3 linked regions of the Callithrix jacchus genome follow. The protein of the gene in region 2 interacts with the protein of the main gene of each other region in a pairwise test. Links are inferred from orthologs where the notes say so. Each region holds a gene or a part of one and is shown on either strand. Other genes may lie near its edges.

What was found. The genes of interacting proteins can lie anywhere in the genome.
Region 1: the proteins of RBSN (region 2) and EHD1 interact in binary tests that used the Homo sapiens proteins (3 or more experiments, as listed by UniProt). The link is inferred for Callithrix jacchus from reciprocal best matches to the Homo sapiens genes RBSN and EHD1.
Region 3: the proteins of RBSN (region 2) and EHD3 interact in binary tests that used the Homo sapiens proteins (3 or more experiments, as listed by UniProt). The link is inferred for Callithrix jacchus from reciprocal best matches to the Homo sapiens genes RBSN and EHD3.

Annotation. Positions count from the first base shown.
Region 1 is NC_133511.1:121,949,503-121,953,545, reverse strand, and holds the start of EHD1 (EH domain-containing protein 1), read left to right. Parts: upstream 1-1,243; 5' UTR 1,244-1,303; coding exon 1,304-1,322; intron 1,323-1,552; coding exon 1,553-1,681; intron 1,682-2,479; coding exon 2,480-2,906; intron 2,907-4,043. UniProt on the Homo sapiens protein: ATP- and membrane-binding protein that controls membrane reorganization/tubulation upon ATP hydrolysis. In vitro causes vesiculation of endocytic membranes. Acts in early endocytic membrane fusion and membrane trafficking of recycling endosomes.
Region 2 is NC_133516.1:72,070,009-72,073,508, forward strand, and holds part of RBSN (rabenosyn-5), read right to left. Parts: intron 1,238-3,500; coding exon 1,137-1,237; intron 323-1,136; coding exon 277-322; intron 175-276; coding exon 13-174; intron 1-12. UniProt on the Homo sapiens protein: Rab4/Rab5 effector protein acting in early endocytic membrane fusion and membrane trafficking of recycling endosomes. Required for endosome fusion either homotypically or with clathrin coated vesicles.
Region 3 is NC_133515.1:84,254,451-84,258,594, forward strand, and holds the start of EHD3 (EH domain-containing protein 3), read left to right. Parts: upstream 1-1,344; 5' UTR 1,345-1,849; coding exon 1,850-2,076; intron 2,077-4,144. UniProt on the Homo sapiens protein: ATP- and membrane-binding protein that controls membrane reorganization/tubulation upon ATP hydrolysis. In vitro causes tubulation of endocytic membranes. Binding to phosphatidic acid induces its membrane tubulation activity.

The DNA.
Region 1 (4,043 bases), on a different chromosome or scaffold from region 2:
ACTGAAGAATAAAACACTGGCGTGGGGGTGACGCCGTTTCTGAGATAAAAGGAAAATACTTGAACCCTCCATCAATCTGCCCTGAACTCAGGCAGACAGGCAGAAAGTGAAACAGCAGAGAAACCACATGTGAAATGGTTCATTCACATTTTAGGAAACTTTCCCACCAAACTGCCTTACTCAGAAAACACAAAAGAAAAAAATATTGCGACATTTTCAGTCTGGAGCATGACAAGATAAGGAAGCTGCCTGGAAGCTGCCTGAAAACTCCATGAAATTGGGGGAACTAATTCCAGGCCACTTGAGCCTCACCAGGGTGGCAGAGATCCCTTCTTCAGTCCTTTAAGCTCTTTGGAGACAGTCAAGTGGCCACACAGAATAACAGGGTCTAGGATTCGTTTATAAATAACCCGGGAACATTTTGTTGTTTTCAGTCTTCTGGGGCTGGGTTTTCCCAGCACACAGGGCTCTGGGGAGATGTGAAAAACGTCCCTCAATGTGATGCTGCCGGCGCGCCACTTTGGAGCAGCCTCATTCAGACCACTGAACAACTACTTCATTCAGGATCCTCGGCCCTAGGCCCTTCCCGAGATCAGCCCAGAAACTGCATCTCCGGGGTGGATCCCTAATAGTGCTGAGTAGGAGGCAAACCCTCTGGCTTCTAAGGCTGACTCAGGAAGTGTGGACCGGGCCTGCCGGAGGCTCCTCATCACCAGTTGGCACGCAGCCTCAGTAGCTTTTGTGCTTTACTATGATGAAAAGAATGCTAATTTGAATCTCAAATCAAATAAAAGCAGTAAATTGGGGCCTAAGATTGCAGGAGGAGCTGGGGTTACTTATCTGCTCTCCAATGGTTAGGGAGAGGGCAGGGCAAGGGAACTAACATTATCTATTCCCTGGGAAGGGATCTTACAAGAAGTGGGTGAACAAACCTCCCATCATGTCCTCTCCAGATTCCATCCGACTCAGCTCCCCTGAAATATCCCGTTCTCAGATTGGAATTCCTGCCACTTCCTCTTAGCCTACCAGCCTGAGTTATTCCGATATAGGCCCCTAGCTCTCCAGGCTTCCACATCTCCCAGAAGCCAGAAAGTTGGACCCGAGGCTTTCAAGGTTGCAGGTTCAATTCAGATCTCTTCAAGAGCCCTCAGGGTCCTGCTCCCCAACCTTGGAGTCTTGATACCTACAGTTACATAACAATCAGCCCCCAAAGCTCTGACATCACCCACTGAAGATTCTCACCAGTCTGGCCAGCCGAAAGGGTCTGCGTGTGGCCGGGGAGGATGGCAGGGGAGTGAGCCCCATGGGACAGCCAGGAACTGGTAAGGGGAGGTAGGGCACAGGTTCAGTAAAAGATGGTAAATGGTGGTGACCCCGGGGGGAAAGCGGAAGTATTTGGGTTTTTAAATTTTCCCCTAAGTTCCCACAAAATTTCATTGTTGCCCCCAAACTCCCCCTCTTCACCACATAGGGAATTTCCGATTTCACTTCCCTAAATGCAAGTGGTCAGAGGGCCTCAACTTCCTCCTTATGGCCTCCTGTTTTGCCCCAGCTGTCACCTCTGTAGTGAAGCCTTCTCTTCTCCCGCGCGCGTCCGGAGTCACGCATGTCCTCCCCAGCTTGTGTCCCTCTCCCACTCCCACCACGTCGGCCCGAGGGGAGGTCAGGCCTCACGCTGCCGGTCAGTTTGCCCGTGTGCCCCCTTCTCCCTGCCCATTTTTCTTTCCTCTGTCACCACCCCGCCCGGGATTCTCTACTCCCTCAGCTTGCTCTGCTACCTCTATCCTGTTTCTCCCTCTCCCAAAACAGATAAAAGATGAGGGGACAAAGACAGTGTGTGTCTGAGAAGCGGGGCTGAGAGGAGGTGGTGCGGCGGCCCGGGGGTCCTGCGATGCCTCGGGGGATTCTGAGTCAGCGGGAGGAGGACGGGCACGTGGGGAACGGCGGGCGAGGCGCATAGTCAGGGAACCGGAATGCCTGACTGGGTGTCTCGTGGAGCCATCCCTCGGGGTGTGGGTGTCCACGGTACCGGAAGGTGCGCAGGCCAGAGACCTTCTCGCGCCGGACGCCGTCTACTCCCGGCCTTCCCAACCACAGCACCTCCACGAGCCTCCCCCACGAGGGGCAGGGCGAAACAGGTGCGGTTGCCACGGCACCCGAACCACGGTCTCGCGAGATTCGGAATAAACCAATGGGAGGCAGGGGAGGGGAGGACGTGGCACGAGGCTAAGGGGCGGGGCCAGAGGGGTTCCTCCCTAACTCTCCCAATTCCGCCCCGCCCTCGCCGCGGCGGCTCCCGTGGCCACTTAGGGACCGATCCTATAAAGGCCGCTCCGCAAGGGGCGCGCTCCACTCGGCAGAGGGCGCCTCGGCGGTTGTGCGCCTGCCCAGTGTGGGTCGCTCCCCGCCCCCTGTCCCGGCCGGCCCCGCCTTGGCTCTGCGCCCTCTCCCGGCTCTCAGCCGCTGCTCTGCCCTGCAGCAGCCAGCCCCGTGTCCGGCAGCATGTTCAGCTGGGTCAGCAAGGATGCCCGCCGCAAGAAGGAGCCGGAGCTCTTCCAGACGGTGGCCGAGGGGCTGCGGCAGCTGTACGCGCAGAAGCTGCTGCCCCTGGAGGAGCACTACCGCTTCCACGAGTTCCACTCGCCCGCGCTGGAGGACGCTGACTTCGACAACAAGCCCATGGTGCTCCTGGTGGGCCAGTACAGCACTGGCAAGACCACCTTCATCCGGCACCTGATCGAGCAGGACTTCCCGGGGATGCGCATCGGGCCCGAGCCCACCACCGACTCCTTCATCGCCGTCATGCACGGCCCCACCGAGGGCGTGGTGCCGGGTAACGCGCTCGTGGTGGACCCGCGGCGCCCCTTCCGCAAGCTCAACGCCTTCGGCAACGCTTTCCTCAACAGGTACCCACCCATCACTCCAGGGGGGTGGGGCGCGGCCCGGGCCAGCCCTCACTCAGAGCCGGACCCTGCCGTGGCTGTCACCCCCGCCGTTCTTTGTCTACGAGGCCCCAGTGAGACCCTCAGTGACCACTCCCTGGCCCAAGGGCCCTGCCGCTTCCCAGAGAAAACCCATCTGGGGTTTAGGAGTGGGCGTTGCCAGCTCCCCCAGCTTCTGTCTTCCCCAGAATCTTCCAGGTTAACCACCAAGCCCTCCCACAAATCCCAGCCCCACTCCCCTCAGAACCAGGACTGAACCATTCCTGCGCTCTCTTTCTTGGTCTTCACCTCCTTCCCGCAGACTGGATGCACTTGGTTCAGGCACATCAACCCTTCCCTCCTTGTCTTCTTAAGTGTCATAGCAAAACACAATGAAACTTTTACCCAGTCCCTTCGCTGGGGCGGTGTGGCTCTGCTCTGCCTCCCCTGGGACTGTGGTTTTGTGTAGGAGGGAGGAGGAGAATCTGCTGTGGCTTGCTGACTTTGGGACAGCCCCTTGGAGGGGACAGTTGAGGTTTGAACGCTTCTCCCAAAGGCAGTTCTCAAGCGGTCAGTGCTGCCTTAAAGGGTTTTGGGAAGCAGGAGGAGGTGGTGGTGCTGGGGTCCTGCGATGAGATTCTAGCCCTGAGCCCTTCTGTGGACTGAGGGACAGAATCTGAGCTGCTTTCACCCACTTGGACCTCTCTCTCCCAGTTAAGTGGCCTCTGCATGTGATGAGAGTGATCCCCAAGCCTCTGCCTCTCTCAGTGCTGTGAATGAAACAGTGGCCTCCCGTCTAAGGAGTGCAATGCCCAGGCTCACTTTTCTCCAAAGGAACTCGAGGCATCCTGGTCCCCACCCCCAGGCGACATACCAAAATACTTCCCAAACCCTGCCCTCCCTGCCACCCCACATTCTACGACTCCTGCATGCCTTTCAGAGTCTGCAGTCTGCACCAGGGAAGAGCCCCGAAGGAATCTTTGAATCTTGCCTTCCAAGTCCCCGCCCTGTGGGATCACATTCCTTTCCAGAGGCCATCCAGCCGTGCAGGGCACCTTGCCCTAGAGCCAAGCCGGTGGCCAGGACTGCTCCATGCACAGAGCTGACCTTCAGCGTGGTCTG
Region 2 (3,500 bases):
CAGGTCACCTACTTGCCAAGGGAAGGCTGATGAGCTCCATACACTTCTTGCACATAATAGACCCACAGAGGCGACAATGGTGGCGGCGGTTCCGGATGCTGAACTTATTCCCACAGTCTGGACAGAAAGGGACATCCTGGTCGTTGACCCAAGGCACCACAGACTTTTCTATTGCTTTGGGAAGAGCAAACCAACAAAAAAGCCATTTTAAAGAGAGATTTGGTCAGGGAAAAAAGATAAAGGATAAGAAGAATGTGAGCAAAGTTTTAAAGTTACCTCTAATCTTTGCAGACTCAGTATTTGTTCTGTCAAATGCAGTGAGCTGACCAAGAGAAAATAGTGCCAAGTGAAATTAACCAGGTGATGTATACATGCTCCACACTTTCCAATACCTCGAGTAGGAATTGGCACATTTGGATTTCTCAAATCTCATCTGTCATCCCCAACTCCACAAAATCACAAAAACAATTTCACGTGGGACAGAATATCAGTTTTGCATCTAGAAGCCACCTCCCTTCCTGTGACCCACTTCTAATCTCTTTATTGTCAGTTACCAATTTTAGCAATAACCAGGGCTAGGCAAGGATGGGTAGGGGCAGCAATTAAAAGCAATGGAAAACTCTCCATTCTCCACAGTGCTCCTAGACCCTAAAACTGGCCACTTATTTCTGCCTTACAAAGTACACATAAAGAACTGTACTTGTGGTTGCTACTATGCCCAGCTCAAAATCCAGGTTACACACAACAAGCATATCTAGGATCAAAATACACCACTGAGACCTGGTCACCACTCCTTTGTTTGCGATCACACCCCACACTTCACTAGGTGATTGTGCCCGGGACACTCAAAAGAAGAATCTGAAGGAAGAAAGGTTTTCCAGCATCTGAGTGGGATTTATAGGTGGTGAAAGGGAAGCTGAGCATGTGGCAAGTCTGTCAGCCTGGGTCATTCTGTTAAGGAAAGCTGGCCCAGGCTAGAACTGTACACCAGGTCCTCTGCAACTCTCTAGAGAAGGGGTTTCTCTGGCAGCATCAGATGTATATGACATCTACAACACATGCTATAGAAATGTGATTATTTTTCCCCAGAAAATGTGTATTTACAGAAAAAAATGTTTTAAGACTACAAAATTTACCTTCTCTAACCTGATTATTAATTTATTGACTTCCACAACATAGTGGTCAATTCTAGCAGCTCGGTGTTTTTTGAATTCAGAAAGATGGCTTCTCACAGCACCTAGAGGGAAGGAAATGGGGAGACAAATGACTTACAATTTCTCTGAGGCAGCCTCTCTACCTTGTTGCTATCATCAATGAATTTCAAAAGCAGGCTGGTCAACATAGTGAGACCCCGTCTCTCTCAAAAAAAAAAAAAATATTAGCCAGGTATGGGCATGTACGCCTATAATCCCAGCTCCTCGGGAGACCAAAGCAGGAAGATGGCTTGAGCCTAGGTGTTGGAGCTATGATCCCACCAGTGTACGCCAGCCTGGGTGACAGAGTGAGACCAATCTCAGGGAAAAAAATAAAAATAAAAAACAAGTAAAAACTCTAAGATTTTATAGTCTTACCAAAAATTCAAAAGCCAGGATAGCAAATGGAAGAAAATCTGCTAAAATGTTAACCATGACCTTGAGGCCACCAAATACCATATGAGAGACTTTAGAGTAGAGTAGATAACAGCATGCATGCTGGAGTCAGCCTGTGCTAAAGTTTCAATTCTGCCACACGCTGTGTAACCTTGGACAAGTTACTTAACTTCTCTGTAACTCAAGAGTACTCAACTGTCAAATACAGTAATAATGGTATCTACTTCACAGAGTTGTTACGATGATTAAATAAGTTAAAATTTATAAAGTCTTACCTGACTCTCATGCTAATGTTAAATAAACAGGGTGATAACATCATGGGCAATTTAAAATTTTCTGAATTATCTTATTGTTTTATATGTTGTAAATCTGATACAATATGGCTTTTCTGAAGGATAAAGACAGTTCTCAAAATGGTCAAAAAAATGATAGATTCCCTTGTGGGAGCTAGTTAAACTGATACCTTCCTCAGTCCAGCAGCCAAGACCTGGGACAAACCTCTGCAACACAAATAGAACCCAATAGCTTACTGTCTGAGAATACCTGAAATATTTCCAGCTCAGTCTCACCTGATCCAGAAACATATTGCCCTCAAACATCCTGGCACTCAGTGCACATCCTCATCCCAGTGATCACTTATTCATTTAGAGATTGTACTATAACAGATTTTGTCACATGCCATGCTTTTTAAAAAAATTTTAATTGCCAAATAAAAACTGCATATATTCACCATGCACAACATGATTTTTTGAAATATTTATACACTAGGGAATGGCTAAACTAGCTAATTAACATATGCATTATATCATATACTTATCACTTTTTGTGGTGACATCACAAAATCTACTCTCACTGATTTTTAAGAATACAAGATTTTTTTCTTTTTTTGAGACGCTCTGCTACCAGGTTGGAGTGCAGTGGTGTGATCTTGGCTCACTGCAACCTCTGCCTCCCAGGTTCAAGCAATTCTCCTGCCTCAGCCTCCTGAGTAGCTGGGACTACAGGCATGAGCCACCATGCCCAGCTAATTTTTATATTTTTAGTAGAGACAAGGGTTTCACCATGTTAGCCAGGATGGTCTCAATCTCTTGACCTCGTGCTCTACCCACGTCAGCCTCCCAAAGTGCTGGGATTACAGGTGTGAGCCACTGCACCCAGCCCACAAGATATTTTTATTTTATTTTATTTTTGAGACAGAGTTTCACTCTTGTTACCCAGGCTGGAGTGCAATGGCGCGATCTTGGCTCACCGCAACCTCCACCTCCTGGGTTCAGGCAATTCTCCTGCCTCAGCCTCCTGAGTAGCTGGGACTACAGGCATGTGCCACCATGCCCAGCTAATTTTTTTGTATTTTTAGTAGAGACGGGGTTTCACCATGTTAACCAGGATGGTCTCAATCTCTTGACCTCATGATCCACCTGCCTCGGCCTCCCAAAGTGCTGGGATTATAGGTGTGAGCCACTGCACCCGGCCTTATTTTTATTAACTATAATCAGGCTGGGCATGGTGACTCACACCTGTAATCCCAGCACTTTTGGAGGCCGAGGAGCATGGATAACTTGAGGCCAGGAGTTCTGAGACCAGCCTGACTAATGTAGTGAAGCCCCATCTCTACTTAAAATACAAAAATTAGCCAGGCATGGTGGTACACGCCTGTGGTCCCAGCTACTCAGGAGGCTGAGGCACAAGAGTTGAACCCGGAGGCAGAATTTGAAGTGAGCCAAGATCGCAGCAGTGCACTCCTGCCTGGGTGACAGAGGAAGACTCTGTCTCAGAAAAACAAACAAAAAACTATAAATCACCCCTTTAACAACAGATCTCTTGACTTATTCCTCCCGACTGAAATTTTGTATCCTTTGATCAGCATCTCCACATGCTATACACTATTTATTTATTTATTTATTAACAGAG
Region 3 (4,144 bases), on a different chromosome or scaffold from region 2:
ATCTGCCATGAAGGTTAAATAAAACAATGTTCACTAAGAACTTAGCCCTACACATGCTGAGCATTTTGTTGATGTAACAATGATTAGTAAGTATTGTTACTGGTTTCCCATCTCCAGCAAAGCCTTTCAGGCTTGACCTCCCTCACTCTCTTCCACCTTCCTAAACCCTACACTCCAGCTACGCCAAACTGTTTGCTCTGACTTGGACACACCAAGTTCTCCCATATTCCTCAAGCCTTTGCAAATGCTCCTTACTCTTCTAGAATAATGAATGTCAATTCATAATTTAGGATCCAGCTTACAGTCATGCTTTCTGTGAAGCCTTCCTTAAATCAGCCACAAAAAAGGAGTGACTCCTCCCTGTGTTCCCATGGCCCTCTGCTCATGCCTCCTCTTTAAAGTCTGCCTTCACTGGAATTCCCAGAAGAGAGTCTGCCCAGCACTCATCTCTGTATCCACAGTCTCCAAAATTGTATCTGCCCTATAATAAATGCCCAATACGGGCCGGGCGCGGTGGCTCACGCCTGTAATCCCAGCAATTTGGGAGGCCGAGGCGGGTGGATCACGAGGTCAAGAGATTGAGACCATCCTGGTCAGCATGGTGAAACCCCGTCTCTACTAAAAATACAAAAAATTAGCTGGGCACGGTGGCGCGTGCCTGTAATCCCAGCTACTTAGGAGGCTGAGGCAGGAGAATTGCCTGAACCCAGGAGGCGGAGGTTGCGGTGAGCCGAGATCACGCCATTGCACTCCAACCTGGGTAAGAGGAGCGAAACTCCATCTCAAAAAAAAAATAAATAAATAAATACCCAATACTTGCAGGGATTTTGCTTGCTGGCTTGTTTCGTTTTGCTGGGATAAATGAATAAATAAATGGGAACGATTTGGACTTCACACTAGGCTTAGTTAAAAGTTTGGGTAGTGACAGTTCTGTTTATTTTGTGTAACCTGATAGTGGATCCTTCTTTCCATGCCTCCCCCCAAAAAAAATCCGCAAATACTAGAGTACCTGTTTTCCTAGGGAATTGGCATCAGCATCAGCAACTGAAGGAGAGGGGATTCAAAGCAGGGAGGGTGATGACTAGGTCAACTCAGTCTTCGCAGCCGTCCCTGAGAGGGCGCTGTTCCCAAATCGAAGCCCCAGAGGCGGGGACTGAGACCCGGGCGCTCTCCCACTGGACTGGGTCAGCATCCCTCACCAGGCGCGGACGCAGGTCTGGAGCGGAGCGCCTGCCCACAAACATGGCGGCGCCCTGAGCTGCTTCCCGTCGCCTGGACCGTGGGGCCAGAGCGGCCTTGCCAGTACTCGTGGACTTCCTCTGCGCGCCGGCTTCCTGCCCAGCTGGCATTTAAACCAGCGCCTGGGGCTGCAGGATGCTGCTGCGGATGCGGAGCTGTCCGCGGGCTGGGCAGCGTCGCCGCCTCCCCTGAGCCGCCTCAGTCCTGCAGGAGCGGAGCCAAAGCACCCCTTGCTGCACGCAGAGCAGAGCAGGCGAGGGCTGGGGGCCGATCGGGAACCCCGGCTTCGGACCCCGTCATCTGGCAGTTTCCTTGCAGGTTCGACTTTAATTTCCAAGACTGCACCCACTCCTCCTCCAGCCCAGATAATTTATCCTCCCTCCCGCCTGGGCTGCTGGACGCAGCAGTGGCTGGGCTTGGTCCCAGGAACAGTGAAAGAGTGCACTCCCAGCCCCGCTAGCCGCGTGCCCGGGCCATGGTGCGGCTGAGCCCGGCGCTTGGGTGAGACGGCGGGGCGGCTCAGAGCCCGGCCGACCGGCCTTGAGAGGCATCTTCCCCTGAGGAGGAGCCTTCCCCTAGGGCTGCGTGCCGCGGGCGAGCGGCGGCCGCGATGTTCAGCTGGCTGGGTACTGACGACCGCCGGAGGAAGGACCCTGAGGTCTTCCAGACGGTGAGCGAGGGGCTCAAGAAACTCTACAAGAGCAAGCTGCTGCCCTTGGAAGAGCATTACCGCTTCCACGAATTCCACTCGCCCGCCCTGGAGGATGCCGACTTCGACAACAAGCCCATGGTTCTGCTGGTGGGCCAGTACTCCACGGGGAAGACCACCTTCATCAGGTGAGCAGGCCCAGGGTCCGGCAGCCCACCCCGGTCAGTGTCCAGTGCCTAGTCCCTCCGGTCACTCCTAGTGCTCCACCCCTGCCAGGGGACCAATGGGAAGACTTCAGTTGAGGGCTCTGAAGAGATGTGTTTGTGAAGGCGTCAAAAGCTTACCCCACAATTTTTGTTGGTCTCTCTCCCCAACTTATCCAATGCCTGTCCACTGTACTTGACCCTTGGGCTCTAGTGGTCAACCTGAGGTACTAGAGTGTAAAGCCATTTCTGGTCTCCCCATCTTATGGATGATGAAACCGAGGCCCAGGAGGCACCGTGGGGGAGCTCCTGGTCTCTGGAGCACCTTATGTTGATGGGGATATCTCACGTCTTCACTTTTTAGGGACATGTTATTCACCGGCAAAACCTCTTCCCTTTCTTTTCAAGGGACTTGGCACTCACATGGGGGCCTCACGGTTGCAGCTGAGCTCTGACGGGAGCAGGCCTGGGAACGGAGGTGGCCCGGGGATGCTACCTGTCCTCCTTTTATCATTTTCTTCTCTAAAGCAGAGCTTCTATGTGTGTATCTTGGAAACGCAACAGAAGCAGAGTCCAGAAGCAGAATGCTGTCTTTTTCCTTTCTCTTATTTGCTCTTAATGACTCAATAATAATATTAAAGTCTCTTAGAGGTGGAAGGGATATTGGCATTGTCTCATCTAGTTCCTGACTTTGCAGGTGAGATAACTGAGGCACAGGGAAGTTAAATGAATTGTTCAGAGCAGTAGAAAGAGTGGGCAGCAGACCTGGGATGCAAGTCCCAGATGCATGTGAGGAGTTGGTTGGCTCAACGCCTGTAACTCTGAGAGTGAGTCATCCATTCCCTTAAATTACAGAATCCTTGGGCTGGAGGGAGCCTCAAGAAGTCAATTTGTTCGCCCTGCATTCAGAGAGGTCTGCAAGAGTAATGAGAATCCTTCCTATCTTTAGAGAACAGGCTTCTCTCTGGTCCTCAATCCTCCCAACCTTCAAGACCAGCCATTTTTCTTGGCCTCTTTTACAGCCATTCCAAACTATTGAGAGTGCTGTGGCCCTCTGTCTTAAGAGTCAGGCACCCACAGCCTGAGAATGGAGTTTGGTGGCCCCTCAAAGTCAAGCATGCTCATCTGCAGAGGACTTGGAAAGCAGGGGTACTCTTGTTCCTATTCATTGGTTCTTTGAGAGTCTGCAACATGCAAAATGCTGTGCTTTGTTTGGTGAGAAGAGCAGAAAAGTTAACAGTCTAGTTACTAACTGTCTAGGTGCTAATTTTCTCTAACATCAACCTTGTAATGCAAGCCTTCTGGAAGTAGCACCATGACGATAGGTCACGTCTCAACACAACACCACATTGAGTTTGTCCTTGTGGAGTGCACAGCCTAGGGCTCAGCAGCTTTGAGAGACCAAGTGATTTCTTTTTTTTTTTTGAGGCAGGGTTTTGCTCTTGTTTCCCAGGCTGGAGTGCAATGGCGCAACCTCGGCTCACCGCAACCTCCGCCTCCTGGGTTCAGGCAATTCTCCTGCCTCAGCCTCCTGAGTAGCTGGGATTACAGGCACGCGCCACCATGCCCAGCTAATTTTTTGTATCTTTAGTAGAGACGGGGTTTCACCATGTTGACCTGGATGGTCTCGATCTCTTGACCTCGTGATCCATCCGCCTTGGTCTCCCAAAGTGCTGGGATTACAGGCTTGAGCCACCGCGCCCGGCCTCTTTTTTTTTTAAACAATCTTCTCCTGTTGCCCAGGCTGGAGTGCAGTGGCGCGATCACAGCTCACTGCAACCTCTGCCTCCCGGGTTCAAGCGATTCTCCTGCCTCAGCCTCCCAAGTAGCTGGGATCACTGGTGCCCACCACCATGCCTGGCTAATTTTTTGTATCTTTAGTAGAGACAGGGTTTCACCATGTTGGTCAGGCTGATCTCCAACTCCTGACCCCATGATCTGCCCACCTCAGCATCCCAAAGTGCTGGGATTACAGGTATGAGCCACCGCACCCAAGAAGCCAAGTAATTTCTGAAGGTGTTCAAGATCTGGAGGTGAAGGGCCTGTTGGCTCT